Anolis sagrei: one gene and its partner. The protein of the gene in region 1 purifies or fractionates together with the protein of each later gene. This does not show direct contact. Links are inferred from orthologs where the notes say so. Each region holds a gene or a part of one and is shown on either strand. Other genes may lie near its edges. The genes, in order: PPME1 and PPP4R2.

Region 1 (15,997 bases):
ATATTTTAAAAATAATAATTTTGTGTTTGTATGAAACAAAGTTGAGCCATTATATAATACAACACACATATTTATTACTATTATTATTATTCTATGGGTGTCATAATTGTTTTTGGAAAATTATGGACTGCAGGAGGTTTTGAAAATATGTTCTGGTCTTAATGTACCTTAATATACCTTAAGAACAGAGAAGCATCCCAAGCTCTGAGGATTACCTGGGAAGGAATCCCACTGGAGCATTGCAACACACCCAAATACCTGGGAGTCACTTTGGACCGTGCTCTGACTTACAAGAAGCACTGCCTGAACATCAAGCAAAAAGTGGGCGCTAGAAAAAATCATATGAAAGCTGACTGGCACAACCTGGGGATCACAACCAGACACAGTGAAGACATCTGCCCTTGCGCTATGCTACTCTGCTGCTGAGTACGCATGCCCAGTGTGGAACACATCTCACCACGCTAAAACGATAGATGTGGCTCTTAATGAGACATGCCACATTATCACGGGGTGTCTGCGCCCTACACTACTGGAGAAATTACACTGCTTAGCCGGTATTGCACCACCTGACATCCGCCGGGAAGTAGCAGCCAATAGTGAAAGGACCAAGGCAGAGACATCTCCAACTCATCCCTTGTTTGGGTATCAGCCAGCACGTCAACGACTTAAATCAAGACATAGTTTTCTTAGATCTACAGAGACACTCACTGGAACACCTCAGCAAGCGAGAGTCCAAAAGTGGCAGGCCCAAACCCAGCACCTCAATCCGTGGGTGATATCAGATGAGAGACTCCCCCCTGGGCACACAGAAGACTGGGCGACTTGGAAGGCGCTGAACAGACTGCGCTCTGGCACCACGAGATGCAGAGCCAACCTTCAGAAATGGGGCTACAGGGTGGAATCCTCGACATGCGAGTGTGGAGAAGAGCAAACCACAGACCACCTGCTGCAATGCAACCTGAGCCCTGCCACAGGCACAAGGGAGGACCTTCTTGCGGCAACACCAGAGGCACTCCAAGTGGCAAGATACTGGTCAAAGGACATTTAACCAACTACCAAGTTTGCAAAATCTGTGTTGTTGTTTTTAATCTGTGTGTCTGTTTTGTTCTGTTAGAAATGTAAAAAAATGGTATGTTTGCTGATGACACGATGAATAAATACCTTAATATACTGTATTTACTTGAGTATAAGCCTAGTTTTTCAGCCCCTTTTTATGCTGAAAAAGCTCCCCTCGGCTTATACTCGAGTCAAGGTTATTTATTATTTTATTCTGTTATTAGTATTATTTTTATTTCATGTATTATTTTACTTTATATTATTACATTTACATTCCAATATTTTCAATTTTCCACACTTCAGCCACTTTATTATTATTGCATTATACTTTATTATTGATTATTTTGCTCTATTATTACATTTATTATTTTGCTCTATTATTACTGTTATTATTGCATTTCCATTATTTTACTTTATTGTTATTATTATTATTACATTTGTTATTTTATTCTCTTTATTATTGTTGGAATGATGTGCAAGTATATTTACATTGAAGAAAGTTAAAATAATGATTTAATCAGAGTTGGGCAGTCTTGTCTCAAATTACAGTTTTATGTAAATATTCAAAAACATTTCACCTCCTGGTGCCTCAATTAATGTTCCATCTGAACATGAGGAAGAACTTCCTGACTGTGAGAGCCGTTCAGCAGTGGAACTCTCTGCCCCGGAGTGTGGTGGAGGCTCCTTTCTTGGAAGCTTTTAAGCAGAGGCTGGATGGCCATCTGTCAGGGGTGCTTTAAATGCAATATTCCTGCTTCTTGGCAGAATGGGGTTGGACTGGATGGCCCATGAGGTCTCTTCCAACTCTTTGATTCTATGATTCTATGTTATTGGTATTTATTTCTATATTGAAATTTACCCCAAGTGGCTTCATTTCCCACCCTCGGCTTATACTCGAGTCAATATGTTTTCCCAGTTTTTTGTGGTAAAATTAGGTGCCTCGGCTTATATTCGGGTTGGCTTATACTCTAGTATATACGGTAAGTTGAGCATCTCTTACCTGGAATTCCAATATTTTGAATTTTCCACACAAGTGGCTGAAGTGTGGAAAATTCAAAATATTGGAATTCCAGGTAAGATGCTCAACTTATATTAAGGTGCATTAAGACCAGAACATATTTTTAAAACTTCCTGCAGTACATAACTTATCAAAACAATTATGACACCTGTTGAATAATAATAATAATAATAATAAATATGTGTGTTGTGTTGTTTGTACTTTGGAATGTGTAGAGTTTACATATGTAAGATTCCCTTAATGTTTTTTTTATTCTTGAGCCGTGAGAAGTGGTGAGTAGGGATTATTATTATTGTTGTTGTTCATTCATTCAGTCATTTCCGACTCTTCGTGACCTCATGGACCAGCCCACGCCAGAGCTCCCTGTTGGCCGTCACCACCCCCAGCTCCGTCACCACCTCCAACTAATAATATTCAATTATTATTAGAAATAATATTATTGTTATTATTAAAATTATTATTGATTTTAATTGTTTTTTAAATTAAACAATTTAACTTTAAAAACTATTTTTATAGTTTTTGACTATTAATATTTTAGTGCTATATGTATTTAATTCTTTTTTAATATCTGCATTTCTGTATATTTTAAATTCTATATTAATGTGTTGTCAAAGGCTTTCATGGCTGAAATTACTGGGTTGCTCTGAGTTTTCCAGGCTGTCTGGCCATGTTCCAGCATCATTTTCTCCTGATGTTTCGCCCACATCTATGGCAGGCATCCTCAGAGGTCGTGAGGTCTGTTGGAAACTGGGAAAGAGAGGTTTATATATCTGTGCAATGTCCAGGGAGGGAGAAAGAACTCGTCTGCTTGAAGCAAGTATGAATGTTGCAGCCAGCCTTACAGCTTCAAAGCCTCACTGCTTCCTGCTATATATTAATATTATATACTAATATATGGAGCCCCTGGTGGTGCAGTGGGTTAAACCACTGAGCTGCTGAACTTGCTAACCGAAAGGTCGCAGGTTCTAATCCGGGGAGCAGGGTGAACTCCCGCTGTTAGCACCAGCTTCTGCCAACCTGGCAATTTGAAAACATGCAACGGCGCTCTATGCAGTCAAGCTGACCACATGACCTTGGAGGTGTCTATGGACAACGCTGGCTGTTCGGCTTAGAAATAGAGATGCGCACCAACCCCCAGAGTCAGACATGACTGGACTTAATGTCAGGGGAAAACCTTTACCCTTTATTATACATAAAAGTATACTAATACTTTTATGTCAAGTCACATGTCAAGTTATCTCCCCTTTGGGGAGATAAAGTGGGGTATAAATAAATATAACAACAACAACAACAACAACAACAACAACAACAACTGGATTTAATGTCAAGGGAAAACCTTTACCCAACAACAACAACAATTTAACTTATATTAATATTATTAACTATTTCAATTATTGTTATTTATTATTAAATTATTTTTAATTATTGTTATAAAATTAATTAAATTATATGAAACCTTTTTGTGTGTTAATAGAAAACACGATTAAAAGAAAAAAAAGAAAATCATATAAAATTAGCAAAAAGAAAAAAAAAAGAAAAATTATTCTGATTAACATGTTTTAAAAGACACTGTAATCCCTGACTGCTACCTTCCCCTGCTTCAAAGCTTCACCGTTATATCTAATCAGAAGGGACAATTCAATTAAAGAAGAGGAAAGGATATATCCTTGCCGGAGTCGCTCTCGACAACCACGTCCTCCATAGATTCAAAGTACTGGCTCCACGGGACCGGGGAATAGTCACGTTTCCTTCCAGGTCTGAAAGAAGAAACGTGGATAGTTTATATATAATGACAGTACAATTCATTCTCACAGCGGTGAGACCAGCATTCCCAGTTTCATCTTCCCACACAACAAAATATGTCCTCACTGGGGACTTTCTCCTACAGGCAATTCCAGGGTAAACTTCTGCTTACCTAGAAAAAATCCTAGAAAGGCATCCATTTAATTGCATGTATTATTCTGTGCCTCCGTCTGTCTGTTTGTCTGGAAGAGGAAATGCCAAATCCTTTTTGCCAAGCACTGTCAATAGCATCATTAATTCTAGTAAAGATAATGCTATCTAGCTCCTTACCTTCTTCTCCTATTCTGTTCTGTCCCACGTTCCAGTTTTTAAAATTATTATTATTATTATCATCATTTTTATTATATGAATAAAGTATTATTATTAATAAATTAGCCATCCCCTGCTGTGGCCGTCTGCGTATATGTGTTTTGTGTGTGTATATGTGTCTGTGTGTATATATCTGTGTATATATGTGTGTTTGCATATATATATGTGGGTGTATATATATATATATATATATGTGTGTGTGTGTGTGTGTATATATGTGTGTATATATTTGTGTGTTTATATGTATACATGCATATTGTGTATATGTGTGTATATATGTGTGTATATATGTGTTTGCATATATATATGTGGGTGTATATATGTGTGTGTGTGTGTATGTATATATTTGTGTATATATGTGTGCTTGCTTATATATACATGGGCGTATAAATGTGTGTTTGCTTATATATATATGGGTGTATATGTTGTGATAGAGTCTGCTGGCAGTGATAGTAACACTAGTTGTATTAGGAAAGGCAGGAGAACTACTCGCGAGCAAGACTATGATGGACCATAAACTATACTTCTTTAATTGGCTGGCGTCTGACCTTGACAGTATATGTGTGTATATATTTGTGTATATATGTGTGGACTTTGATGGACTAATTCCCTGGACTATTTTGTTCCGGCTTATCTTCCTACCTAATTGGATTTACCTATACCTTTAAAGTGCTTTTTTACTTTTACTGCTTTTTAATTGTCTTCAATAAACAGATTTAATTGTCTTCAATAAACTCAGAGGGCTTTTCCTGGTCTGGATTTGGGGATGAAACCAAACCAACCCCACTGGATACCAATGGGCCTATTGTAATTACTATTATTACATTCAAGAGCCTTTTTCTAGGAAAGGAATGATGCACCTTGCAACTGAAGAAACGCAAGCTGAAAAGCAGGACAGTCTATAGATAATACACAACTGCACCTCAAAAGCAAGAGCAAATTATAGGGATGCCCCATCCGCACGCAGCCAACAGCTAAAAAGGACCTGCCAATTATATTATATCCCAATTATATTTCTTAAAATAGCTGCGAATGGAGAAAGAATGAAAAGTATGAGGTCCGTACAAAAGGTTGTTGGACTGTAATTCCCGGCAAATCTAACCAGCACATCCCCAAACTTAAGAAGAATATCCTCATATCCTTAACTGCATCTCCAACTTAATAATATCCTTATATATTTACCGGTAATAATAATAATATCCTCAAATACGTAATTGCATCCCCAACTTAATAATAATATCCTTATATATTTACCGGTAATAATAATAATATCCTCATATCCTTAACTGCATCCCCCAACTTAATAATAATAATAGCTTTATATATTTAATAATAATAATATCCTCAAATACCTAATTGCACCCCCAACTTAATAATATCCTTATATACTTAATAATAATAATATCCTCATATACTTAACTGCATCCCCCAACTTAATAATAATAACATTAGCCTTATATATTTAATAATAATAGTATCCTCAAATACCTAATTGCATCCCCAACTTAATAATATCCTTATATATTTAATAATAATTTTAATATCCTCAAATACCTAATTGCATCCTTATATATGTTGTAATAATAATAATAATAATAATAATAATAAATCATAATAATAATAATAACGCCGCCCTGAGTTGCCTTCGGGCTGATATGAGCGGGATACGAATGTTGCAAATAAATAAATAAATAAATATCCTCATATACTTAACTGCGTCCCCAACTTAATAATAATAATAATAATAATAATAATAATAACCTTACATATTAAATAATAATAATAATATTCTCATATACTTAACTGCATCCACAATTTAATAACAACAACAATAATTGTAATAATGTGTTGTCGAAGGCTTTCATGGCCGGAATCACTGGGTTATTGTGATTTTTCTGAGCTGACTAGCCATGTTCCAGAAGCATTCTCTCCTGATGTTTCGCCCACAACTATTTTATCTATTTATTTATTTTATTTAGCAATTTTGTATACCGGTCTTCTCCCCTCTATCGGGGGACTCGGGCCGGTTTCCAACAATAAAATCACAAAACAATCATTAAAAACATCTTATGACATATTCAATTAAAACGTTATAACAGCAAAATGCAATCACATAATAACAATGGTCAGTCGTCATAGTGAATCCGTTGTCCATCATTCATCGTCATCTATCCGATCACAAAAATATTGATTCACTCGTTGAAAGCCAAACCCCATAGCCAGGTTTTCACCCATTTTCTGAACGACAGAATGGAGGGGGCAGTTCTGATCTCCAGCGGGAGAGAGTTCCAGAGTCGAGGGGCCACCACCGAGAAGGCCCTGTCCTCTGAGGTCTGTTGGAAACTAGGCAAGTGGATTAAGGTTCAGTGTGGGAAAAAGAACTCTTGTCTGTTTGAGGTAGGTGTGAATGTTGCAATTGGCCACCTCGATTAGCATTTAATGGCCTTGCAGTTTCAAAGCCAGGCTGATTGCTGCCTGGGGGAATCCTTTGTCGGGCTTTATATACCTGTGGATTAAGGTCCAGTGTGGGAGAAAGAACTCTTGTCTGTTTGAGGTAGGTGTCAATGTTACAATTGGCCACTTTGATTAGCATGTAATGGCCTTGCAGTTTCAAAGCCTGGCTGATTGCTGCCTGGGGGGGGGGGAATCCTTTGTCGGGTGTTGTTAGTTGGTCTTGGGTTGATTCTTGTCTGGAATTCCTATGACCCAGTTAGGGCTGGCTAAGACCTCCCAACAAAGGGTTTCCCCAGGCAGGAAGCAGCCAGGCTTTGAAGCTGCAAGGCTTTCCAATGCTAATCAAACTCACAGAAACCCAATAATAATGGCCCTGGTTGTTTCTTGTCTGGAATTCCTATGACCCAATCAAGGCCAGCTCAGACTTCCCAACAAAGGGTTTCCCCAGGCAGGAAGCAGCCAGGCTTTGGAGCTGCAAGGCTTTGCAATGCTAATCAAACTCAAAGAAACCCAATAATAATGGCCCTGGTTGTTTCTTGCCTGGAATTCCCCTGACCCAATCAGGGCCAGCTAAGACCTCCCAACAAAGGGTTTCCCCAGGCAGGAAGCAGCCAGGCTTTGAAGCTGCAAGGCTTTGCAATGCTAATCAAACTCACAGAAACCCAGTAGTAATATCTTCATATACTTAATCAATCTTCTTATGCATAATAATAATAACAATAATAGTAATTGTAGTGGAATTCCTTTGAAAGGTGAAAAAACCCACCATGACGTCACCCTTTGCCTCCCTCCCCGTGACGTCACGCAGCCCCCTCCCCTCGCGTGACGTCACCCCTCACCCAGATCTTGGGCCTCACCCCATGCGCATCTTGGGGGCCCCTTGAGCGCCCATCCCGGCCGGGCCCGGTCCTCGGGGCGGGAGGCGGCCCAACTGCAGCTGCTTCTCCAGCGCCGACATGGCTGCCACCCCTCAGGAAGGCAGGAAGCGGCGAGAAAGGGCACCGGGACTACAACTCCCGGCATGCCCCGCGCTCCCGGCACACTGCTCCTCCTTTGAAGCCCCGCCCCGGAGCATCACGGGATGGCGAGTCCTTTCTTTTTCCTCCTTTCATTTTACGCCGGGTCTATCTCTGACGTACACCGGAAGCGGCGAAAAAGGGCATCGGGACTACAATTCCCGACGTGCCCCGCGCTCCCGGCACGCTGCTCCTCGCTTGAAGCGCCGCCCCGGAGCAGCACGGGACATCGAGTCCTTTCTTTCTCCTCCTTTCATTTTACGCCCGGCCTGTCTCTGACGTAGACCGGAAGTGCACGCAGGGCAGCACGGGAAATGGAGTTCTCTGCGGCTGAGAGGCCGATAAGAAAGAGCCGGCTTAGAGACACACGCATGCGCGGTTCAGGGCAGCACGGGAAATGGAGTTCTCTGCGGCTGAGAGGCCGATAAGAAAGAGCCGGCTTAGAGACTCGCGCATGCGCGGTTCGGGGAATGGCCGCAGCCGGGCTTTCCTCCCGCCGGTTTCCCAGGAAGCATTGCGAGCCGCGGCCTGCGTTGCCAAGCAACGCGAAGCGGCCTAGTCGTAGTTGAAGCCTCCTGGGAGTAGTTGAAGAAGGATGAAGCAGAAGAAAAAGGCGGCGAAGGGCTTCTCCTCCCCGTCCCTCTCCTCTCGGCCTGGGCGCAAGCGGAAGGGTGAGAATCGGGGGGAAGTTACAATTCGCCATGGGGCAAAAGGCAGTTATTTATTATTTATTTATTTATTAGATGCACTTATTGACCGCCATTCTCAGCCCTTACGGGCGACTCATGGCGGTGTACAGTACACATAAAAAGACAGTTACAGAGGCCAGTATCAACAACATATGACTATACAACAAATACAAACTACAAACTACATAAAAATCCGCTTCGTCTCTTAGTAGAATCATAGCCAGTCTCATCTTCCTTATACCATTCCAGTTCTCATTACCGTAATGTTGTTGCTTAGCACTTAATTAAATGCCCTCTCGAACAGCCAGGTCTTAAGGCTTTTTCGAAAGGACATGAGGGAGGGCGCCTGTCTGATGTGTGCCGGGAGAGTGTTCCACAGCCGGGGGGCCACCACCGAGAAGGCCCTCTCCCTCGTCCCCGCCAGCCGTGCCTGTGATGCAGGCGGGATCGAGAGAAGGGCCTCCCCAGACGATCTCAAGGTCCTCGTGGGCTCGTAGGCCAAGATGCGGTCCGAAAGGTATTTTGGGCCGGAACCGTTTAGGGCTTTGTAGGCCAAGACCAGCACCTTGAATTGGGTCCGGTAGCAAATCGGCAGCCAGTGAAGCTGGGACAACAAGGGCGTTGTGTGCTCCCTGCTACCCGCTCCAGTTAGTAACATGGCTGCCGCACGCTGGACCAGCTGAAGCTTCCGGGCCATCTTCAAGGGCAGCCCCACGTAGAGAGCGTTGCAGTAATCCAGGCGGGATGTGACAAGAGCGTGTACCACCGTGGCCAAGTCAGACTTCCCGAGATATGGGCGCAGCTGGCGCACGAGCCTAAGCTGTGCAAATGCTCCCCTGGTCACCGCTGAAACCTGGGGATCCAGGCTCAACGATGAGTCCAGGGTCACACCCAAGCTGCGAACCTGCGCCTTCAAGGGGAGTGCGACCCCGTCCAGCACAGGCTGTAACCCTATATCCCGTTCGGCCTTGCGACTGACCAGGAGTACCTCTGTCTTGTCTGGATTTAGTTTCAGTTTGTTCGCCCTCATCCAGACCGTTACAGCGGCCAGGCACCGGTTCAGGACCTCGACAGCCTCCTTAGTAGCAGGTGGGAAGGAGTGACAGAGTTGGACATCATCTGCGTACAGATGACACCGCACCCCGAAACTCCGGATGATCTCACCCAGCGGCTTCATGTAGATGTTAAACAGCATGGGGGACAGTATGGAACCCTGTGGCACCCCACAAGTCAAAGGTTGTGGTGCGGAACAGGAGTCCCCCAATAACACCTTCTGGGTGCGACCCTCCAGAAATGACCGGAGCCACCGCAAAGCAATGCCTCCAAGACCCATTTCCGCAAGGCGCCCCAGAAGGATACCGTGGTCGACGGTATCGAAGGCCGCTGAGAGGTCCAGGAGCACCAACAGGGACACACTCCCCCTGTCTAGCTCCCGGCGCAGATCATCCACTAAGGCGACCAAGACCGTCTCGGTACCATGCCCCGGTCTGAAACCAGACTGTGCCGGATCCAGATAATCCGTGTCTCTCAAGAATACCTGGAGTTGTGAGGCCACCACGCTTTCCATGACTTTGCCCAAAAAGGGGAGATTGGAAACAGGCCGAAAGTTGTCCAATTTAGTGGGGTCCAGTGATGGCTTCTTCAACAGCGGCTTTATAATAGCCTGTTTTAGGCTCGCTGGAATCTTGCCTTCCCGAAGGGAGGCATTCACCACCACTGTTACCCACTCGGCCAATCCCCCTCTGGCCTCTCTCAGAAGCCAGGATGGGCAGGGGTCTAGGATGGACGTGGTGGGCCTCATTCCTCCAAGTATCTTGTCCACATCCTCGGGTTTCACAAACTGAAAAGAATCCAACAAAATAGGACAAGCAGGTGCTCTCGTTACATCCACAGAGTCTGCATCTAACGCGGCGTCCAGCCCAGAACGGATCAAGGCGACTTTGTCTGCGAAGAACCGAGCAAATGCTTCACAGCGCGCGACCGAATTGTCAGGGCTCCCACCTGCAGAGGCGGGAGTTAAAAGACCTCTGACAATCCGAAACAGGTCCGCCGGACGGTTCTTTGCAGACGCAATAGTGGCCGCAAAGAAAGTTTTCTTTGCGGTCTTTATTGCCGCGGCATATGCCCTAAGAAAGGACACAAACCGTGCTCGGTTTGACTCGCTCGGTTCCGAACGCCACACGCTCTCTAGTTCCCTCTTCCTTCGCTTCATAGCTGCCAGCTCCTCAGTAAACCAAGGGGCTGGTTTAGCTCGGCTACTTGAGAGGGGACGTTCCGGAGCGATCATGTCAATAGCCCTGGTCATCTCCCCATTCCAGAGAGCGACCAAGGCTTCGACATGGTCACCTACCGAGGTGGCGGGAAAATCCCCAAGAGCCGTCAGGAAGCCATTCGGATCCATAAGCCTCCTGGGGCGGACCATCTTAATGGGTCCTCCACCTTTGCAGAGGTTAGGGGGCGCAGTGAGCCTAAATCTGATCAGGAAGTGGTCGGTCCATGGCAACGGAGAGATGGACAACTCCTCCACACCGCCACCCTGTTCCCATCCCTGACAGAAAACCAAATCCAATGTGTGTCCAGCACAGTGGGTGGGGCCAGATATTTGTTGGGACAGCCCCATGGTTGCCATGGCAGACATGAAGTCCTGAGCCGCGCCTGTGAGGGTCGTCTCGGCATGGACGTTGAAGTCTCCCAGCACAAGAAGCCGTTGAGACTTCAATGCCAGGCTCGAGACCACCCCCGCTAGCTCAGGTAGGGAGACTGTAGTGCAGCGAGGTGGACGGTACACTACTAGAATCCCTATACTGTCCCGGTCACCCACCCTCAGGTAGACGCTTTCGTTAAAGCGGTATCAAACCGCGTTAAGCCCGCAGTGTAGATGCACCCCATAGCCTGCGTGGAATAGAATGGATATGTCATTGTGTCATTCTATAATGTCACGTTTCTCTCTTTCACCCTCCATTCGTGCCTCTTTGAATTCTGCAGCACTGCTGGTCACAGCCGACCTCCAACTGGAGCACTCAAGGGCCAGGGCTTCCCATTGCCACAGTTTTTGAGATTGACGGTCCTGGTCAGGGTTGGCTTGATGTGCCTTCCTCTTGGTACGTTTCTCTCTTTCGCTCTCCATTCGTGCCTCTTCAAATTCTGCAGCACTGCTGGTCACAGCTGACCTCCAGCTAGAGCGCTCAAGGGCCAGGGCTTCCCAGTTCACAGTGTCTATGCCACAGCTTTATTATTATTATTATTATTACTACCTTATTAACACCTTTGTTGTTTTGTTGTTGCTGTTGTTATCTGATGCACAACAAGATGAGTACACAGTGAACAAGATCACTCTGCTGGCTGCTGTATTGGATCACATGTTGGACACCTCCCAGTTGTCTAGGACTTGACACATTTCTCTCTTTCGCCCTCTATTCTCACCTCTTCGATTTGTGCAGCACTGCTGGTCACAGCTGACCTCCAGCTGGAGCGCTCAAGGACCAGGGCTTCCCAGTTCTCGATGTCTATGCCAGAGTTTTTAAGGTTGGCTTTGAGCCCATCTTTAAATCTCTTTTCCTGTCAACCAACATTCCGTTTTCCAAGTTCGAAGTAGAACAACTGCTTTGGGAGACGGTGGTCGGGCATCCGGACAACATGGCCGGTCCAGCGGAGTTGATGGTGGAAGACCATCACTTCAATGCTGGTGGTCTTTGCTTCTTCCAGCACACTGACATTTCTCCGCCTGTCTTCCAAAGAGATTTGCAGGATTTTCCGGAGGCAGCGCTGATGGAATCGTTCCAGGAGTTGCATGTGACGTCTGTAGACAGTCCACATTTTGCAGGCGTAGAGCAGGGTTGGGAGGACGATAGCTTTATTGCATTCAAATCACCCCTGACAGATGGTCATCCAGCCTCTGTTTCAAAGCTTCCAAAGAAGGAGCCTCCACCACACTCCGGGGCAGAGAGTTCCACTGCTGAACGGCTCTCACAGTCAGGAAGTTCTTCCTCATGTTTAGATGGAATCTCCTCTCTTGTAGTTTGAAGCCATTGTTCCGTGTCCTAGTCTCCAAGGAAGCAGAAAGGAAGCTTGCTCCCTCCTCCCTGTGGCTTCCTCTCACATATTTATACATGGCTATCATATCTCCTCTCAGCCTTCTCTTCTTCAGTCTAAACAGGCCCAGATCCTTAAGCCACTCCTCATAGGGCCTGTTCTCCAGACCCTGGATCATTTTAGTCGCCCTCCTCTGGACACATTCCAGCTTGTCAATATCTCTCTTGAATTGTGGTGCCCAGAATTGGACACAATATTCCAGGTGTGGTCTAAACAAAGCAGAATAGAGCATGGGGAGCACGACTTCCCTAGATCTCTAGATACTATGCTCCTATTGATGCACTATGCTCCTATGAATCATTCACATTGTCTAAATAACTGTGTTCTAATGCTTTTTCGCAGATCTCAGTGACATTACCCCTTCGACAAGCTTGCCGCCTCTCGTGGAAGGACAGCTACGCTGCTTTCTGAAGCTGACCGTTAGCAAGATCCTATGGATGGTTTCCAAGCCACCATCTTCCTTCCTGATCCGGGTGCGGTGGTGGGGAGAGACCTCAGATGGCACTGTTTTCACTCCCCGTGACCCCTCGCAAGCAGAGCAAAAGACACTGAAGACTACCACTCGCTACCCAGTTCGGTGTGGACCAAAACAGTTTACCGCCTACCTGACAGGTACTGATTGGATCCTTGATGCTTAAGTATCTAAATTTTTTTTGCTTTAGGATTGGAATTCACTCTTAAAGCAAAAACTAGAACGGACAGGAATTGCTGGGTTGTTGTAGGTTTTTCCAGGCTATATGGCCATGTTCTGGAGGCAATTTTTCTCCTGACGTTTCGCCTGCATCTATGGCAAGCATCTTCAGAGGTAGTGAGGTCTGTTGGAAGTAGAAAAAATGGGTTTATATATCTGTGGAATAACCAGGGTGAGACAAAGGACTTTTAGGTTCTTGTGGGTTTTTTCGGGCTATAGAGCCATGTTCTAGAGGCATTTCTCCTGACGTTTCGCTTGCATCTATGGCAAGCATCCTCAGAGGTAGTGAGGTCTGAGGATGCTTGCCATAGATGCAGGCGAAACGTCAGGAGAAATGCCTCTAGAACATGGCTCTATAGCCCAAAAAAACCCACAAGAACCTAGTGATTCCAGCCATGAAAGCCTTCGACAATACAAAGGACTTTTGTCTGCTGGGGCTAGGTGTGAATGTTTCAGCTGATCACCTTGATTAGCATTCAATGGCTTGGAAGTGCCTGGGGGGAATCTTTTGTTGAGAGTGATTTTATGTGCCTGTTTGTTTCCCCTCTGTTGTTTTGCTGTTGTAATTTTTGAGTTTTTTAATACTGGTAGCCAGATTTTGTTCATTTTCATGGTTTCTTCCTTTGATTGACTAAATGTGATAAGTAGGAAACTGACTTTCCTTGAGGTCCAGTTTGGAGGAAATTGCAAGATTTGCTTTGCTGATTGGCTGCCCAGCTCTGCGTATTCTGATCAATGACACCTCTGTAGTGTCTTCTGCAACATTTTCCCCAGCCTTGTCGTTGGAATTGTATCCTTATAATTAAGTTGAACTTTCTCACAGTTTGACAGTAGAATATGCTGCTTTGGAGTTGTGTTCTCTTCTTTGGTGGTTTTTAAACAATCCCATTACCAGTGGCTTGGTAATTTTGATGGTTGTGATTCATTTATTTATTGAGTTTATCCTTCCTATTCTTCCTTTTGCTTCCACCTCATTCCAAACATTCCCATTATGATTTGTTCTCTGTCTGCACACCAGTCTTTTATTTACACTGTGGGAAGAGTTGATAATTTAAACAGGAATGGAAGAGAATATATATATTCTTTATTTATTTACTGTATTTGTATACTTCCTTTCTCAGCCCGTAGGCGACTCAAGGCAGCTAACAGGGCAAAATTCAGTGCTTACAATGTCATAAATACAATTAAAAGCATAACATTTATTAAAAACTAAACAATCAATAAAATATAAATTCATAGTGTCTCCTGTGTTGTCTGGACTCAGTGTCTAGTCCAGTGGTTCTCAACCTTCCTAATTCCTCGACCCCTTAATACAGTTCCTTATGTTGTGGTGACCCCAACCATAACCCTAACATTATGAATCGCCATGTAAATAATGATCTGCAGGATGTATTTTCATTCACTGGAGCAAATTTGGCACAAATATCCGGTATGCCCAAATTTGAATACTGGTGGGATTGGCGGGGGGATTGATTTTGCCATTTAGGAGTTGTAGTTGCTGGGATTTATAGTTAACATGTAAACAAAGAGCATCGTGAAACCCACCAACAATGGAATTGAAACAAAGTTGGCACAGAGAACTCCCATGATCAACAGAAAATACTGGAAGGGTTTGGTGGGCATTGACCTTGACTTTGGGAGTTGTAGTTCGCCTACATCCAGAGAGCACTGTGGGCTCAAACCATGATGGATCTGGACCAAACTTGGCATGCATACTCAATATGCCCAAATGTGAACACTGATGGGGTTTGCGGAAAATAGACTTTGACATTTGGGAGTTGTAGATACTGGGATTTATAGTTCACCTACAATCAAGGAGCATTCTAAGTCCCATCAATGATAGAATTGGGCCAAACTTCCCACTCAGAACCCCCATGACCAACAGAAAATACTGTGTTTTCTGATGGTCTTTGGCGACCCTTCTGACACCCCTTCGCGACCCCCTCAGGGGTCCCGACCCCCAGGTTGAGAAACACTAGTCTAGGCGTTCCATTTTCCTGTGTCAGTTACTCTGCATTTGCAAACGCTCATGCAAAAAGCTACATCTTGACTTTTTTTCTGGAATGTTAAAAGGGAGGTGGCCGATCTAATATCTATAGGGAAGGCGTTCCACAGCCGAGGGGCCACCACCGAGAAGGCCCTGTCTCTCGTCTCCACCAAACATACTTGTGACTAAGATAGTAACCAGAGCAGGGCCTCCTCAGACGATCTTAAGGTCCTAGATAATTCATAAGGGGAGATGCATTCAGACATGTAAGTTGGGCCACAGAGTGACTGGCTATTTTATTGTTCCTTCTAGATATGGGTGCTCTTATACTGGAAGTCATGACCAAATCAGATCGCCTTCCAATCGGCCGGGTTCAAATCAGTGGGCTAGCGCAGCTCTCTCCTAGCCACCCAATCAGTGGGTTTTTCACCATTGTTTCACCAACATCTGAAAAGATGGGAGAATTGCAGGTATTTAAAAACTTTTGCTGCTTTTTCTTAGTAGCAGGGATATGCTCAATGCTCAGAATATATTGTGATTGTAATTCCTCCACATTTAATTCAGGATCTAGGAGAAGAAAAGGTATGTGGCAGTCACATATAAGGGATGTTATATACAGTGGCCTTTAATGTGAACTACAAATCACCTGTGCAAATACCTGTGCCATCAGTTCAGAAGCTTCAAGCAAGCCAGCACACAGCTGTGTCTATCTTATGCTGTCTGCAATAGGGGGATAATATTACTGACCTACACCAAAGGCTATCCTGTCCAACCCCAATCTGTCATGCAGGAAAAGCACGTTAAAACACCCCTGACAGATGGGCATCCAGCCTCTGCTTAAAAGCCTCCAATGAGACTCAGAGACAGAGTTCCACTTTTGAA
Region 2 (16,175 bases), on another chromosome or scaffold:
ATCCTTTGCCCCTCGGTGTTCTACACATAGAAGAACAGTTTTTCTGCTAAAAGTTGCCAATAAGAAACACATTTTTAGAAAAGCACTAAATTCATCATCACTGGCATTGAAGAATATGAACAAGGAAGAAAGGCAGAACACACTATTTTCACATTATTTACACTCTATAATACTGGGAATATATTAACCTGTCGCTGGTAGGTGCATATTGTGAACTCTAATAACGAGAAGTGCAAGAATAGCAATGGATGATGAAGGAGCACAAACCACAGAGCAGACTAAAGATTGTTATACAACTTATAGATTCATGCATGGGTTAAACAAGTACAGACAAATAAAAGTGAATGAGTCAGCCTCTTAACTGGGTTAACAAATGCAAAGGGAGAAAAAAGAGAAAAGCACAAAGTATTCCTGACAGATGGCCATCTAGCCTCTGTTTATAAGCCTCCAAAGAAGAAGCTTCCACCACACTCCGAGGCAGTGAGTTCCACTGCTGAAGGTCAATGTGTTCTTCCTAAACTGCATTATTATGCTACTTTAACTAAGGAAGATTTATAGAATTCAGTTATCTAACATGGATAAATACATTTGCTCTTTATAAAGAAATACTTTTAAGGGAGGGTTAGGAAATCCATGGCCCTTCAGATTGTGTTCACCCACAGTTTCTTCCAGGCCTATTCAAGGTAATCAGATGGGAGTTACAGCTCAACACCTGAAAGCCACAAGTTTCCAATTTCTGCCTTATACCAAGAACATATATATCCTAGTGTTCAAACTTACAGACCTATACTTTGAAAAACATGTGTTGCTGCTCATGCATGCTGTGGTATCTACCATTTAACTTGTCTGTTGTAGGCAGACACAACAAGTTATAACAGCATTGGCTAGAGCAAAATCGGATTCTTTGCATTGTTTACGACAGGCGCCCTGTTGTAACCTGATACCGAAAGTCTGTTTCTTCACTTGTCCACAAACCTACCGATGTATCTACAATGAGGACATGGATGAAAAGGTGCTAGGTGAGCATAAAAAGGCTTTGTAAACAGAGCTTCTTTGTCAGAGGCATTGTTAATTATACCTGTATCAACTAAAAGATCTCACAGTATTTTTAAATGAGTTTTAAAACTATTTAGCAAGTGGAGAAATGTATCTTTCTAAGGGCAGGCTATTATTATTATTATTATTATTATTATTATTATTTCAGACATTTATAACCCGTTCTTCTCACTCCCGGAGGTGGACTCAGGGTAGCTTAGAACCAGGAACTAAATATAGGACACAGATCTGGTATGACTAAAGAGCTCAGTGGACTCTAACAAACTGAATTTATGCTCCATTGAAACTTACACGCTGTAATAGATCGTCACAAAACCAAAAGGTTTTTATTTCATGGATTCCCCTTTCCAGGAAACCCCTAGGTGCTTTTAAGAAATTAAAGACTGGCATCTAACTTCCATGGTTGGAGACGCCCAACTCACACAAAGCCTACAATTATTTTAAAATGCTTCAATAATTATTCTTATTCTTGTGACTAATATTAAACTGGTGAGGGAAACTGTAGAGGGCCTGGGTCTAATTTCCGGCCCTTGCAACTCTTTGGCAACCACATGAGCTGCCAAAAATGACTCTGCCCCCACCAGGTTGCCAAAAATCCCCTTCTGATTTTGAAAAAAATTGGGTTTTTTTAATGTTAACAATGTGAAGGGGTGCAGCATGTGTAAAAGGTGACACAACACTTCTGGAGGTCTCCAAGACAAGTGGCACACTCTTTTTGGAAGGGAGGGGCAGAAAAACAGGTGATCTAAAGGCACCTTGAAATTTGTAGAAATAACCTTGGGAGTCCAAATGCAGCCTACGGGGACCACTTTAATAATTCCTACTTTAAATCAATGTGTTCACAGTTATTAAACTGTTATTAAATATTACATGGTAGTAGAATTTTAAAATTCCAAACCGTTAAATATTAAACATGCATTTTCAAAAGCCAAAAATACTGAGGATCAATCCTGGTATTAAAGCAACAACAAGTACTTCATCACACTAGAGCACCTATCCACTTTAAATCCAGTTGCTTCCTCCTGCAGAATTCTGAGGTTTGTAGTTGACTGGGGTGTGAAGTTCAAAGGCCACACCCTTAACTACAAACCCCAAAATTCTGCAAACGGATTTAAAGTGGATAAATGTTCTAGTGCAGTGGTTCTCAACCTGTGGGTCCCAAACACCTGGGGACCCACAGGTTTAGAACCACTGCTCTAGTGTGATGAAGTCCTAAGATTTATAGCACTTAAAGGAGTAGACTGTTATGATAAAGAACATAAAAGTCAATCCACAGAATACACACATACACGTTTTTAGAACAGCTGTGGCATCATGATTTTTGCTTTATAGACCTAGGCTCAAAACTTTCCAAACTCTACCATTCTAGATCTTTAAATATATCTATTAAACAAATTTAGACTTATGCAAGAAATAAACTGTTACTAGGATCTAAAATGTAATTATGTTGATCATATATTGGTATTAAGGAAAACTGGAAGAAAACTCTGTTCTTACTGAACTGACCTTTTGTTTCTAAGAATAAACAAGATTTCAGGGCTTCTTTTTTCTTTTAATTCTAGTGTCCAATGATAAAAAAAACAGTTGTACTTTGTAAGGTGGAGTTCACTGAAATAAGTATTTTCCCCAAAGCACAAGTTAACATTACTCTCCCCCACTATGCCAGCTTGGGAGCAAACAAAACACACACACACACACACACACACAATATTTACACACTACAGGGTTTTCTGCTAAGTGGTAAGGCAATAAGGAAGTCAGAGCAACATCAGAAAAATACAATCTAGATATACAAGCACGTGTATTTATGTATTTCCTTGTCCTGACTGCTGTAACTTGAGGCCACTAGAGGAAAGCTGAGAAAAAATGTAATGAACAAATAAACACTGTGTTAATATACTTAAGCTTCATATCAGTTGTCCCAGATTAAACTCTGCCACCTTTATGCAGAACATGGTAAGCCTTCCTTCTCAAACTCTGGAAAGTCACTACCAGTCACTATGGCAAACAACACTGAGATGAACCAATAGATCAACTCAGTATAAAGCAGCTTCCCATGTCTCCAATACTGTTCTCACTCATACTCCATTGTCTCACCTTTATCCCTGCACCCTTTTTGTCAGTGGCCACAATACTCCCCTTACATTTCTACTTGGACATCTCTTTTGCTATCAAATCAAGCAAAAGCTCACCACCCAATCTCTTTGTTCTTACATCCAATACATCCCTTCCTTCAGCTACACCATATTCCGTTCTCTGAAAATAGTTCTCTCTCCAAGAATTCAACACTTTACCTTGCTTTCCACCTGTGATGCCATGCCTCTTACTGTCTTTAAATCCGCTCCGAAAAATTTCACTTCTTCCGTGACGTCTTTAGCACAACCGAACTATTCTAAGTGCCTCTATTATGTCCTGTGCTGAATTATAGATAGTAATTTGTGACAAACGCTTGACTTCTCAGTATCTGTGAACATTACTGCCTTCCTGCCAATTTGTCAGTGCTTGGCATACTAAAACAGTTGGATACACTCTGCCAAATATGGTAATTTATAATAGTCTACTTTTCTTTACTATTATTTTTATTGAAGTGGTGGCAAACCAAAATCACACTCACTACTACAAATTTATGGAGTGAGCAGGGTCAGAAGACAGGACCAAGGTGCAGGTTATGATATAGCAATGTGTGTGCTCTCATCGGGAGAGAATGGGACCACCAAGAAAATAATCACTTTTTCTTTTTATTATTATTTTCTCTCGTTTTCTTTACTTTTTTATTTTAATTTTAATCATGTTATAGAAAATTTCAATGAAGATTATTTTTTAAAAAAGAAAGAATATAATCACTTACTGGTTGCGTAGACAAATGTAAATGAATAGGAAAGAGGTATGTTATCATATTTAGAAAAAGGAAACATTTGGTTGGCATTGGCATCTCAGTCCAGCAACACCCATTTAAATGAGCACTACCTGAAATCCCAGATGAAGTAAGAGGCTTCTAACCCAAAATAAGAACCCTGGGCCCGGTTAGTCATCCGAGTCTATTCTTGGTCTCTTGTTTTTATACATTTCAGATGCCATTGTCCATACGTGATGAATTATGATGTACTTCCTGATTATGTTATAACTAGGCAAAGTGATATGAAGAAGCAAAATCAACCCCCCAAATGAATATGCTTTGAGAGAGTTACTCTTCTCATTAATTCCCTGTATCTAAAATGAGGTTGAAAAAGACCTACGGTGCACCTACACTGTAAAATGAGTGCAGTTTGACACCCTTTGAATTGGCATGGATCAATGCTATGGAATCATGGGAGTTGTAGATCTACAAGACATTTAACACTCTCTGCGAAAGAGTGCTGGTTCCTCACCAAACTAATACTCCCAGGATTCCATAGCATCGAGGCATTGTAGTTCAAGTGGTGTCAGACTGTACTCATTCTACACCCCAAGAGAATTTGGTACTTAAGCACATCTCTATATGGGGTTTATTTTTGCGTCAAGAAGTATGTACACACAGAAAGGCTGTGTTATGAGCAGTCCCCATAACTAATTGATATCAATCCCATAATTGATATACTTTAAAATTTGGACATATTTATTCAATGCTACTAAATAAATTTTGCAGAACTACATTTCTCTGAAAATGTAATGTGCTAATTTGTAAGTTAAGAAAAGAAAAATGTGTCCATCTTTGTGTAATAAGTCTAATACCATTCCACTTTTTATACTCGTTAATAGGAATCCATGTTAATTCACAACTCTGAAAACAGATTGCAAAACACACAGTCTGTCCATGTTTTGCCTATTAAAGCAGGAACACTGTGTAAAATAGAGACAGCATTAGGTTTATTGCATTCAAAAGAATGTATTGAAGTTAACAAGAAACACTAGAAAGAATCAAAGGCACTCAGAACGATACTGCTCAATCTTTGATGAACAGCTTTTTAAGTCTAAAAGAAAGTTACCTAATTAGCAAAACTTGAGAAACACTTATACTGTGTAGCTATTCATTTGGAATGTAGGTACCTTTCAAGGATCAACACATAAAAGGCATTCAGTTGCTAACTTTCTTTCTGACTCATCCAAGAGCATAGAAAGAAACTAGAAATCAATTAAACTCACTCACATTGTCTCTCCAGTCTTGGCAACATGACAAAGAAATTGATCCAGTATTGGGCACACTTCCTTCTTCCCCCTTTTTTCAAAATCTACAAAGAGGACAGAAAAAGAAGAAAATAACTATTAAAAGTACACACTCCTTTGTTAGACACCATATTCACCTTCGAAATATCTTGCATTCTAAATGGAAAGCACACACTAACATGGATATGTAAACACACTCAGGCATGCTCCTTAACAGGCCTCTGAAGGAACATCAAATATATTTTAGTATCTGAACGGCTGTTATTCAACTTCTCTTTCAAAGCTAGTTTCTAATACTAGCTAGACTATGGGTAGGAAAGCAAATACAGCCAATGTAATCCAGTGATTTCTTGGAGTGGGTGGGAAGGGGAGGATACACGTGAGGTAAAGGTTGCCAGAAATGCTAGAAAGTTAAGGAAATGAAGATTAGAAGAGTGTATAGTCATGTAACAGATAAAAGAGATAATGTTGAATAAAAGGCCCAAAAAAACTTTTTTAAGGAAGGGGTATGAAAATCGGCTGGAAGGGGAAACCACTTGGGAGCTGTATGACTACCTTCTCCAAAAATGGCTTGAAAGCAGGGGGAGGGAAGGAATGGCTTCCATTTCTCCCAAGCAGTAAACAAGAAAGGTGTCTTCCCTTTAACAAAAAAGGATGCCATTCTATTGTAATATTTACTTTTTGTACGTTTTAGCTGTGTTGTTCTTTTAAATTGTGAGCCACTATAAATCCCAATGTTGGAGATAAAACGCTACATTAACAATACTGACTGGGAGTATTCCTTATCCAAAACCCTTGGGACCAAGAATGTTTTATATTCTGGACCCCCCCCCCCCCACCCCCATTTTGAAATACATTTGCATACATGCACAGAATGAGATGTCTTGGAGATGCAGCCAAGGCACAATTCATCGCTGTTTCATATACAGCTTTTAGACATAGCCTGAATGCAATGTTATACCCAATTTTTGTGAAGAAAACAACATTTGTGTGTATTGTACCCTCAGAAAGCAAAGGTGTCAGGATCTCAGAGAGCATACACTGTGGAATCAGTGCAGTCTGACACCATTTCAACTGCCATGGTGCAAAGCTATGGAATCATGGGAGTTGTAGTTTGGTGAGGCACCAACACTCTTTGGCAGAGAATGCTGAAGATCTTGTGAAACGACACCTTCCATGATTCCATAACATTGATCCACGGCATTTTCAAGTGGGGTCAAACTGTATCTTGAGATTCGTGGGCTGGCAAAAGTTTCAGGATCTCAGAGTGCATACACTGACACCATTTCAACTGCAATAGTGCAATGCTATGGAATAGTGGGAATTGTATCTTGGTAACACTCTCTGACAAAGAAGGCAGAAGATCTTGTGAAATTGCCACAGCTCAATCCTATGGAATAATGGAGGTGTAGTTTTGTAAGGCCTTTAAGCCTTCCCTGCCGAAGAGTGTTTTTGGTGCCTCACTAAACCACAAATCTCAAGATACAGTTCGACTCCACTTGAAATTGCCATGGCTCGATACTATGGAATCATGGGAGGTGTAGTTTTGTAAGGCCTTTAAGCCTTCCCTGCCGAAGAGTGTTTTTGGTGCCTCACTAAACCACAAATCTCAAGATACAGTTCGACTCCACTTGAAATTGTTATGTCTCAATCCTATGGAATCATGGAGGTGTAGTTTTGTAAGGCCTTCCCTGCTGAAGAGTGTTTTTGGTGCCTCACTAAACCACAAATCTCAACATACAGTTCGACTCCACTTGAAATTGCCATGGCTCAACACTATGGAAGGTGTATTGTCGAAGGCTTTCATGGCCGGAATCACTGGGTTGTTGTAGGTTTTTCCGTGCTATATGGCCATGTTCTAGAGGCATTTTCTCCTGACGTTTCGCCTGCAGGGGTGATTTGAATGCAATATTCCTGCTTTTTGGCAGGGGGTTGGACTGGATAGCCCATGAGGTCTCTTCCAACTCTTTGATTCTATGATTCTATGCAAGCATCCTCAGAGGGTGCTTGCCATAGATGCAGGCGAAACATCAAGAAAAAATGCCTCTAGAACATGGCCATATAGCCCAGAAAACCTACAACAACCCACTATGGAAGGTGTCGTTTCACAAGATCTTCGGCCTCCCATGATTCCATAGTAATGAGCCATGGCAATTTCAAGTGGAGTCAAACTGCTTGTTAAGCTTTGTGGTTTCAAACTGTATCTTGAGATGTGTACTTTTGTGAGGCAGCAGAAACATTTTTCAGCAGGGAAGGCTTAACCACCTTACAAAACTATACCTCCCATGACTCCACATCCTTGAGCCATCTACGATGTGGAACTAAAGCACAGATTGGCATGGAAGGAGTTGTAGTGTAGTGAGGCACCAGCAGTCTTTGACAGAGAAGGCCTTGCCAAACTACAACTCCCAGGATTCCACAGATTGGCATGGTAGGAGTTGTAGTCTAGTGAGGCAGCAGCAGTCTTTGAAAGAGAAGGCTAAAGGCCTTGCCAAACTACAACTCCCAGGATTCCACAGCCTTGAACCATGGCAGTTAAAATGGTGTCAGGCTGCATTCCTTCTATTGTGTAGGTCAAGTATGGGCTAAGTTGGGCCCTTCCGGTGTTTGGACTTCAACTCCCACAATTCCTAACAGCCTGAGGCTGTTAGGAATTGTGGGAGTTGAAGTCCAAAACACCTGGAAGGCCCAACTTGGCCCATGACTGGCGTAGATGCACCCTCAGCTAGTCAGATAAGGGATGCTCAATCTATAATAATAATAGGGATTGATGGGATCTCCCAAGTACACCAAAGCGAAGCCCAGGCCTCGTGTCCCCCATTCCTGAGGGCAGTGTCCTCTTCCCTTTCCGTATGACCTCAAGGTAACCTGGAACCCTCTCCCCAGAGCCAACCAACCCCCACAACCCTCTCACACACCTTTCAGTGCCTCCTGCAGCCTCTCAACATCCATGGTCCGCAGCTACCTCTTCCTCCTCCTCCTCCTCCTCCTGCCCCTCGGGCCCTCACACAAGGAACAGGCCTCCAGAAGCAGCACAGGGGAGATATTTCTTCAGCCTCAGCCACTCCGAGAGCGAGAAAGAGAGAGGGGAACGACCGAGAGGCGAAAGACTCCCAAGAGAAAGGAAAGAGAGAGGAAACACACACTCAAAAAGAGAGAGACACAGAGAGAGAGGCAAAACCCCCGGCGGCCGGGCTCAGCAACCTTCCAACATGGCGCCCAAGCCGCCGCCGTGCGCGCCGCCGCCGCCGCTTGCTGCGCGCGCACGCACGCAAGCACGCACGCACACCACACCGCGAAAAAAAACAAGCTTCGCCTCTTCCCGCCGGCACGCAGAGGCGCGCGAGGAGAAGGTGGTGACGTCACAGCCCGAGAATGATTGAAAGCCTGAAGGAATAGCTCGAGTTGGGATTGGCCGAGAGAAGTCTTCCTTCTTTTTTTTTTTTTTCAAACTGACTTTTTCTCTCTGCTCCGCCCACTTCGGGTGACGTCACGCTTCGGTGGAAACTGGATTCGAGAGGAGATGCCTTCTCTTTTTTAAGTCCCGCCCACTCCCGGTGACGTCACGCTTCGACTGAAAGCCAGGTTTCTTCCTTTCTTCATTCAGTCTGAGGAGAGAGAAGAGAGAAGGTGTATGTTTTGAGGGAGCCCATGAGGTGAGACTGTCGACGCCTTTCAACATACATTTGAGCAAAAAGTTAGATATTTTGACAGCAACTTTGATATAATTGTGGCAAGTAAGCATGAGTGCATCTACACTGTACGTTTAATGCAGTTTGGCACCACTTTTAACTGTCATGGCCTAATGCTGTGCAATCCTGGGAGTCCTTCTCTGCCAAAGACTCCTGATGCCTCACTCAATTATGACTCCTAAGATGCCATGGCAGATAAAGTGGTATCAAACTGCATTAATTCTACATTGTTGATCAGACATGGGCAAACTTGGGCCCTCCAGGTGTTTTGGACTTAAACTCCCACCATTCCTAACAGCCGGTAATGTTCATTTGTGGGATTAACATAACTCAGAAACCACTGGGCGAATTGACACCAAATTTGGACACAGGACACCTATCAGGCCAACGGGTGACCATCACTCATAAAAAACACTGAAAAACACAGCAGAAGAGACTTAAAAAGCAAAAAAAAAATTACAATGCATGCACAAAACCACATATATACACAAATATATACACACACAAAACATACACAGCAACTCATGGCAGGGAACGGCTAGTACCACTAATAAAGTATTTTATTTTATCAGAAAAGAAATCTAATATCACTTTTAGCCTTTATTTATTTATTTGTCATGTCAGGACAACCAGTCAAATTATATTACATTTCTAACAAAACAAACAGACAAAATACAGAATGTGTGTGTTTGATGGTTGATTAAATGTCCTTTGACCAGTATCTGGCCACTGGGAGTGCTTCTGGTGTTGCTGCAAGAACGTCCTCCATTGTGCATGTAGCAGGGCTCAGGTTGCATTGCAGCAGGTGGTCAGTGGTTTGCTCCTTTCCACACTCGCATGTCGAGGATTCCACTTTGTAGCCCCATTTCTGAAGGTTGGCTCTGCATCTCGTGGTGCCAGAGCGCAGTCTGTTCAGCGCCTTCCGAGCCTCCCAGTCCTCTGTGTGCCCAGGGGGGGAGTCCCTCTCTTTTTTTTCTTTTTTCTTTTATAAATGATTTTTATTAGAAATATTCCAAAATATACCAAAGTTTGGGGGAAGAGTGAGCATAAAAATCTCTTAGAAAAGACAACAAGGTACGATGGGCCGGGAAAAATGGGAGGGATAAGGGAGGGGGGGAAGGTGGCCCTGGTGGTGGGATCATTCTAAGTTGGGGGAGCATGCGGGGTTGGGTTAAGGTGTGCCGGGTAAGTTGGGGGAGGGAATACAACGGGGGGGGGGGGGGAATATAACATTTGGAAGGATGTTCCGACTTCCCAGTCTTCTTGCTCCATGTCTTAAAATTTTGAGTTCCTTTCTAGGTGGCTCTTTACGTAGTTCCTCCCTTGTATTGCTAAATTTTTTATTCCTTCTTATTTCTGGTTCTTCTCTTTTCCTTACCTTTTCCGGGCTAGCTCATTTCTGAGAATTCCTCGAAGGGTTTCCAATTCGTTCTCTTCAGTGGTCGCCCATATGAATCTTTTAGTGTGTAGGTCAATACATCCATCTCTCATATGTCTCGTACTTTCTCCAACCACTCTTCTTTAGAAGGGATTTCCTTGGACTTCCAGTGTCTGGCGAACACAATTCTTGCTGCCGTTGTTAAGTAGGTCAGCAACAAATAACTGTTTACATCCAGGTCCCAATCTTCTTCGAAGATTCCCAAAAGGTAGTACTCTGCTTTTCTCTGTATTTTTCTCTTAAGGATCAGTTCACAAGCTTCGTTTATTTCTTTCCAGAAGGATTTATTCGTTTATTTCTTTCCAGGGGGAGTCTCTCTTTTGGTGTCAGCCATTGGTTGAGGTTCTGGGTTTGAGCCTGCCACTTTTGGACTCTCGCTTGCTGAGGTGTTCCAGCGAGTGTCTTTGTAGATCTTAGAAAACTATTTCTAGATTTAAGTCGTTGACGTGCTGGCTGATACCCAAACAGGGGATGAGCTGGAGATGTCACTGCCTTAGTCCTTTCACTATTGGCTGCTACTTCCCGGCGGATGTCAGGTGGTGCAATACCGGCTAAGCAGTGTAATTTCTCCAGTGGTGTAGGGCGCAGACACCCTGTGATAATGCGGACTTTTAGCCTGATATGTTTTAAGTAAAGGGTTGGGTTTTTTTTTAGGCTGAACACGTGAAGCCCACGGTCAGTTATGCAGTGATATAATATATACATATTAACATTGTTTCTTAATACCTGGATGTGTGTGTAACCTGATGTCTGTATATTTATGTACATGTGCTTGTACATGTGTGCGTACTCTGACATTTGCACACCCTGTCACTTGTACCTTTTTGATGCTGGTCATTGACCGTAATAAATGTTTAAAAAATATATACACATATTTAATCACTATCACCTCTCTTTTGTAAGAATCAAGTTTTCCCACGTTTACACAGTGCATTATCTTTTGAATGACAGCTACAGAAACTAGAGCTTGACAGCAGATTAAATATCTTTATAATTAAATCATCTTTGTTTAATATAAAAATCCACTTGTCAATACCAAATGTCTTGGGCAAATCGTTTCTTTTTTTAATTGTGTCAGAAGCAACTTCAGAAGCCGCGATGGCACAATGGGTTAAACCCTTGTTCCAGCTGAACTGCTGACCAGTTCAGCTGGAACTGGTCAGCAGTTCAGTGATTTGAATCCACAAGACGGGGTGAGCTCCCGTCTGTCAGCTCCAGCTTCCCATGAGGGGACATGAGAGAAGCTTCCCACAGGATGGTAACACATCCAGGCGTTCCCTGGGCAACGTCTCTACAGACGGCCAATTCTCTCACACCAGAGGTGACTTGCAGGGGCGATGGTTAATATTCAATCTGAATACAATAAGAGACTCTCATTTAACTGTTACCTATGGGGACTGGTAAATGCCGGATAAAGGTAGTTTATTGCTGCTTGAGAGCTACTATTACTATTAAAAATAGACATAACTAATACTATACCCCAGGCATGGGCAAACTTGAGCCCTCCAGGTGTTTTGGACCCGCTGTTAGAAATTGTGGGAGTTGAAGTCCAAAACACCTGGAGGATCAAAGTTTGCCCATGCCTGCTATCCATAAACTCAGTATTGACTTGATATCCTTATGAAATACAACAATTAAAAGCAAATAAAGACAGTGTAACACTGTTTGACCATATTATAAACAAAAAGCTTTACGAATCCAGTATTGGGTGGTTGTAGTTTTTTTCGGGCTATATGGCCATGTTCTAGAGGTGTTCTCTCCTGACGTTTTGCCTGCATCTATGGCAAGCATCCTCACAGGTAGTGAGGTTTGTTGGAACTAGGAAAGTGGGTTTATATATCTGGAATGACCAGGGTGGGACAAAGAACTCTTATCTATTGGAGCTAGGTGTGAATGTTTCAACTGACCACCTTGATTAGCATTTGAAGGCTTGGCATTTGAGGATGCTTGCCATAGATGCAGGTGAAACGTCAGGAGAGAATGCCTCTAGAACATGGCCATAAAAACCTACAACAACCAAGTGATTCCGGCCATGAAAGCCTTCAACAAAACATTGAATCCAGTATTATTTATTTGGGGGATGTTTTGCTGGTTGCTTGAGATTTCTGATTGCTTGAGTTCTGATTAACTGAGAGTTGACTGTATTATTATTTTGCATTGTAACGAATTAGGAGAGAGGAGGGACGATTTATTATTTATTACTCTTAATGGTGCCACCAATGTGTGATGTGAGGTATTACTGGGAGATATGGCACACTGGACGCAGAATTAATGGAGATGAGGCAGTCTTCAAACAAAAGAGAACAAGTTTATTTTGAACAAAGCGTATGGTTGCAGGCTGTTGATAAACTTGGAAATACTTTGAGAACTTTACATGTAACTTGGTTGCAATACAGTTCACACTTCTGGATGTTACAACTTGTAATTGACTTTTACTGTGGTGAAGCACTTTCTTAAACAATGTTTCCTGAGGTGAATAGCCTTCCTGTTTGATCCTTCCGTGATCAAACCCCAGATCTCTAGTTCATTTCTAACTAGTGATCTAAACAAGCTTCCCTTAGTCCTCTCTAACTAATGAAACTAATTAGGTTTCCCCTTCAGCTTTCCTAAACTGAAAAAACCTCTGACTATTCACAAACACTGCTTCTCTACTTCCCACTCTCTCTCTCTCAACTGCTAACTCCGACTCCAAAACCCTAACTCCTCACTCCTCGGAACCTAAAACTCTAACTCATGACTGTTCACTCCTCTGAACCTAAACTCTAACTGAACATTAACTGTCGTTTTTCAAACTCTCCCCTCTAAGCTCCTCCCACTTCTCTCTCTACAGCATCGTCTCCATGGCAACGCACTCCTCTGACTTAGGCCGCTCCAGCATTACTGCAGCCAATCTAAACACAAATACAGTTAAAATCATACAATTTATAATCAACTTCTGTACATGCATATTTAAGGACTCACTGAGTCGCAAGTTTAAACCATAACACTATGTAACAGGTTTTTTGTTCCTGGGTCATAAATGTCATTTCCTAATTGGTTCTATCATGAAACTTGAGTCTCAACCAATTCAACATAGTTTGTGGCAGCCACAGAAACAAAGTTTCTGGAGTATAACAACTACTTTCAAAGGAAGTACCACACAATTAAACAGGAAATAACACTTTCAAACCAGGAACATATTTTTTCACATTTTGTTACATAGTATAATTAATGCACTTTTTAGATCAAATTAATATTTTCTTATAATACAGCTCTCGCTCGATACATGAATGATAACGTTCTCTTGGCCATTGAAATGGACAACAAGCAGCCAATATTCCTAGTGACCACATGCCTAGCATGGCAAGTTTCTACTTCTTAAGCGTTTTGTTTTTTAATTTGCATAGTTTTACATTTATTGTCCAGAGAAAAGCAGAATAATAATAATGTAAATAAAATAAATGAAAAATCTCCTTAAGCACAGACAGAAGATATAGTTTGTTGGAATACATTTATTAGATTAGTAGACAACTTTGACTGCCCTTTTCTTATTCAGCTTTTCACCCTTGATTTAGAACAGCCTTTAGAGACAGAGACCTCTATTTGAGTATGAAAAGTTGCTTCAGCTTAGAAGAGTCGGTTTTTCATGGCTTAACAACAATATTACAAATACAGTTCTTCTATGTGTTTTCCTTTCAATGATGTCAGCTTAAAAAAAAATCTAGTTGTAATACTGTGATTTCCCCAATCTTTCTCCTTCTGTGTGGCTGACCGTCTGGTTAGAGCTCAAATATTTCACTTTGAAGTTGTTTGAATATTCAGCATTCACAGAACTGGGAGCTACATTTTTCAAAGCTTAAAAGTCTCCTTGAACAGTAGCTCTTGACTGTCTTTGCTCCAAGCACGCTGTGCAATCTCCACATAATAAATTACCACTTTCAAGCACCATCTTGAAACCTACCTCTTTTCTTTTGATTTTGGGTATAATTTTCACTGGGATGTTTTATTCGCCGGGGAAAACATTTATCTTAAGAATAAAGGGAGAAAAGTAGACTACAAACTTAATTCATAGAGTTCTTGTGGGTTTTTTTGGGCTATATGGCCATGTTCTAGAGGCATTTCTCCTGACGCTTCGCCTGCCTCTATGGCAAGCATCCTCAGAAGTGAGGTCACCTCACCTCTGAGGATGCTTGCCATAGATGCAGGCGAAACGTCAGGAGAAATGCCTCTAGAACATGGCCATATAGCCCGAAAAAACCCACAAGAACTGAGTGATTCCGGCCATGAAAGCCTTCGACAATACATTAATTCATAGAGTTGGAAAAGACAGGGATTGCAAACCCATGCATCAGTTGTGGGGCAAAATTATAGTACAATCTCTATAGTGGGTTGCTGTGAGTTTTCCAGGCTGTATGGCCATGTTCCAGAAGCATTCTCTCTTGACGTTTAGCCTACATCTATGGCAGACATCCTCAAAGGTTGGGACCTCACAACCTCTGAGGATGCCTGCCATAGATGTGGGTAAAACTTCAGGAGAGAATGCTTCCAGAACATGGCCATACATCCCGGAAAACTCACAGCAGCCCAGTGATTCCAGCCATGAAAGCCTTCGACAGGACAATCTCTATAGTATACTATGTTCTTTGTTTGTATTGGTTACATCTTATTAGAAAGAAAAGGTGTCACTAATACTTCACTGAGGATGCACTTTAATAATACTCAAAATGCACGAATTTGGTTCACTGTAGAGAAAGTGGAAAGCTGGAAAACTACTTGAAGATCCAAATGTACTGATCAATATAATCACAAATCTGACTTCTCACTGGAAGAACTGATAGTCAGTTGCAAGATAAGAGCCAGAAGGTTCATCTACACCAGGCATGGGCACACTTCGACCCTCCACGTGTTTTAGACTTCAACCCCCAGAAATCCCAACTAGTTTATTAACTGTTAGGAAATGTGAGAGTTGAAGTCCAAAATGCCTGGAGGGTCAAAGTTTGCCCATGCCTGATTTATACTATCAAAATTAAAGCACTCTGACACCAGTTTAACTGCCTTGATTCAATGCTATGGGATGCTGGGATTTGTAGTTTGGTGAGGCAGAGGAGAAAGACCTTCTAAAACTATAGTTTCCAGGATTCCATAACATTGAGCCATGGCAGTTAAAGTGGTGTCAAACTGCATTTATTTGATAGTGTAGGTGCACCCTAAGCTACTGTTCCTCCAGCCACATAAAATAAAATAAACCACTTGTGACCTGGGGAGTTTATTGTTCTTTGGATCTTGAGGAGTATTTTTAAATTTCAAATAAATAACAGGATTTATACCCATCTCAAGAAATCTGGATCAGGATGCGAACCAGTAATTGGATAAATGTGTCCTCATTCGTTTTGTTAATATAATTTATGTATGTAGCCCTAATCTAAAAGGACTTGGTTTAACCTCTGTTTTGCTAGTAAAACTGAATTACTGTGTTGTGAAATGATACGTTTCTAAAAAGTGTGTCACCAACATGACATATTTGGAAAGCTTTACTTGGAAAGTTGTTTGAGTACTGGAATTGGACACATGTATTGGGGAGTGGGGTGAGCTCCAGTTGTTAGGTCCAGCTTCTGCCAACCTAGAAATTCAAAAACATGTAAATGTGAGATCAATAGGTACCGCTTCTGCGGGAAGGTGCAACACTCCATGCAGTCATGCTGCTCACATCACCTTGGAGGTGCCTATGGACCACACCGGCTCTTCGGCTTAAAAATGGAGATGAGCACCAACACCCAGAGTTGGACTCAGCTAGACTTAATGTCAGGGGAAACCTTTACTTTATGTTTACACTGTAGAACAAATGCAGTTCAACACTACATTAACTG

Evidence for each region.
Region 2: the proteins of PPME1 (region 1) and PPP4R2 purify together in Homo sapiens (affinity purification with mass spectrometry; 3 studies listed by BioGRID and IntAct, counting the BioPlex papers as one, with this or other methods). This does not show direct contact. The link is inferred for Anolis sagrei from reciprocal best matches to the Homo sapiens genes PPME1 and PPP4R2.

Annotation. Positions count from the first base shown.
Region 1 is NC_090023.1:5,505,892-5,521,888, forward strand, and holds the start of PPME1 (protein phosphatase methylesterase 1), read right to left. Parts: upstream 7,642-15,997; 5' UTR 7,599-7,641; coding exon 7,498-7,598; intron 3,832-7,497; coding exon 3,737-3,831; intron 1-3,736. Other genes in the region: C2CD3 (C2 domain-containing protein 3), read left to right, coding at 8,252-8,327, 12,780-13,049, 15,428-15,585. UniProt on the Homo sapiens protein: Demethylates proteins that have been reversibly carboxymethylated. Demethylates PPP2CB (in vitro) and PPP2CA. Binding to PPP2CA displaces the manganese ion and inactivates the enzyme.
Region 2 is NC_090022.1:40,795,618-40,811,792, reverse strand, and holds the start of PPP4R2 (serine/threonine-protein phosphatase 4 regulatory subunit 2), read right to left. Parts: upstream 8,450-16,175; 5' UTR 8,152-8,449; coding exon 8,118-8,151; intron 5,265-8,117; coding exon 5,183-5,264; intron 1-5,182. UniProt on the Homo sapiens protein: Regulatory subunit of serine/threonine-protein phosphatase 4 (PP4). May regulate the activity of PPP4C at centrosomal microtubule organizing centers.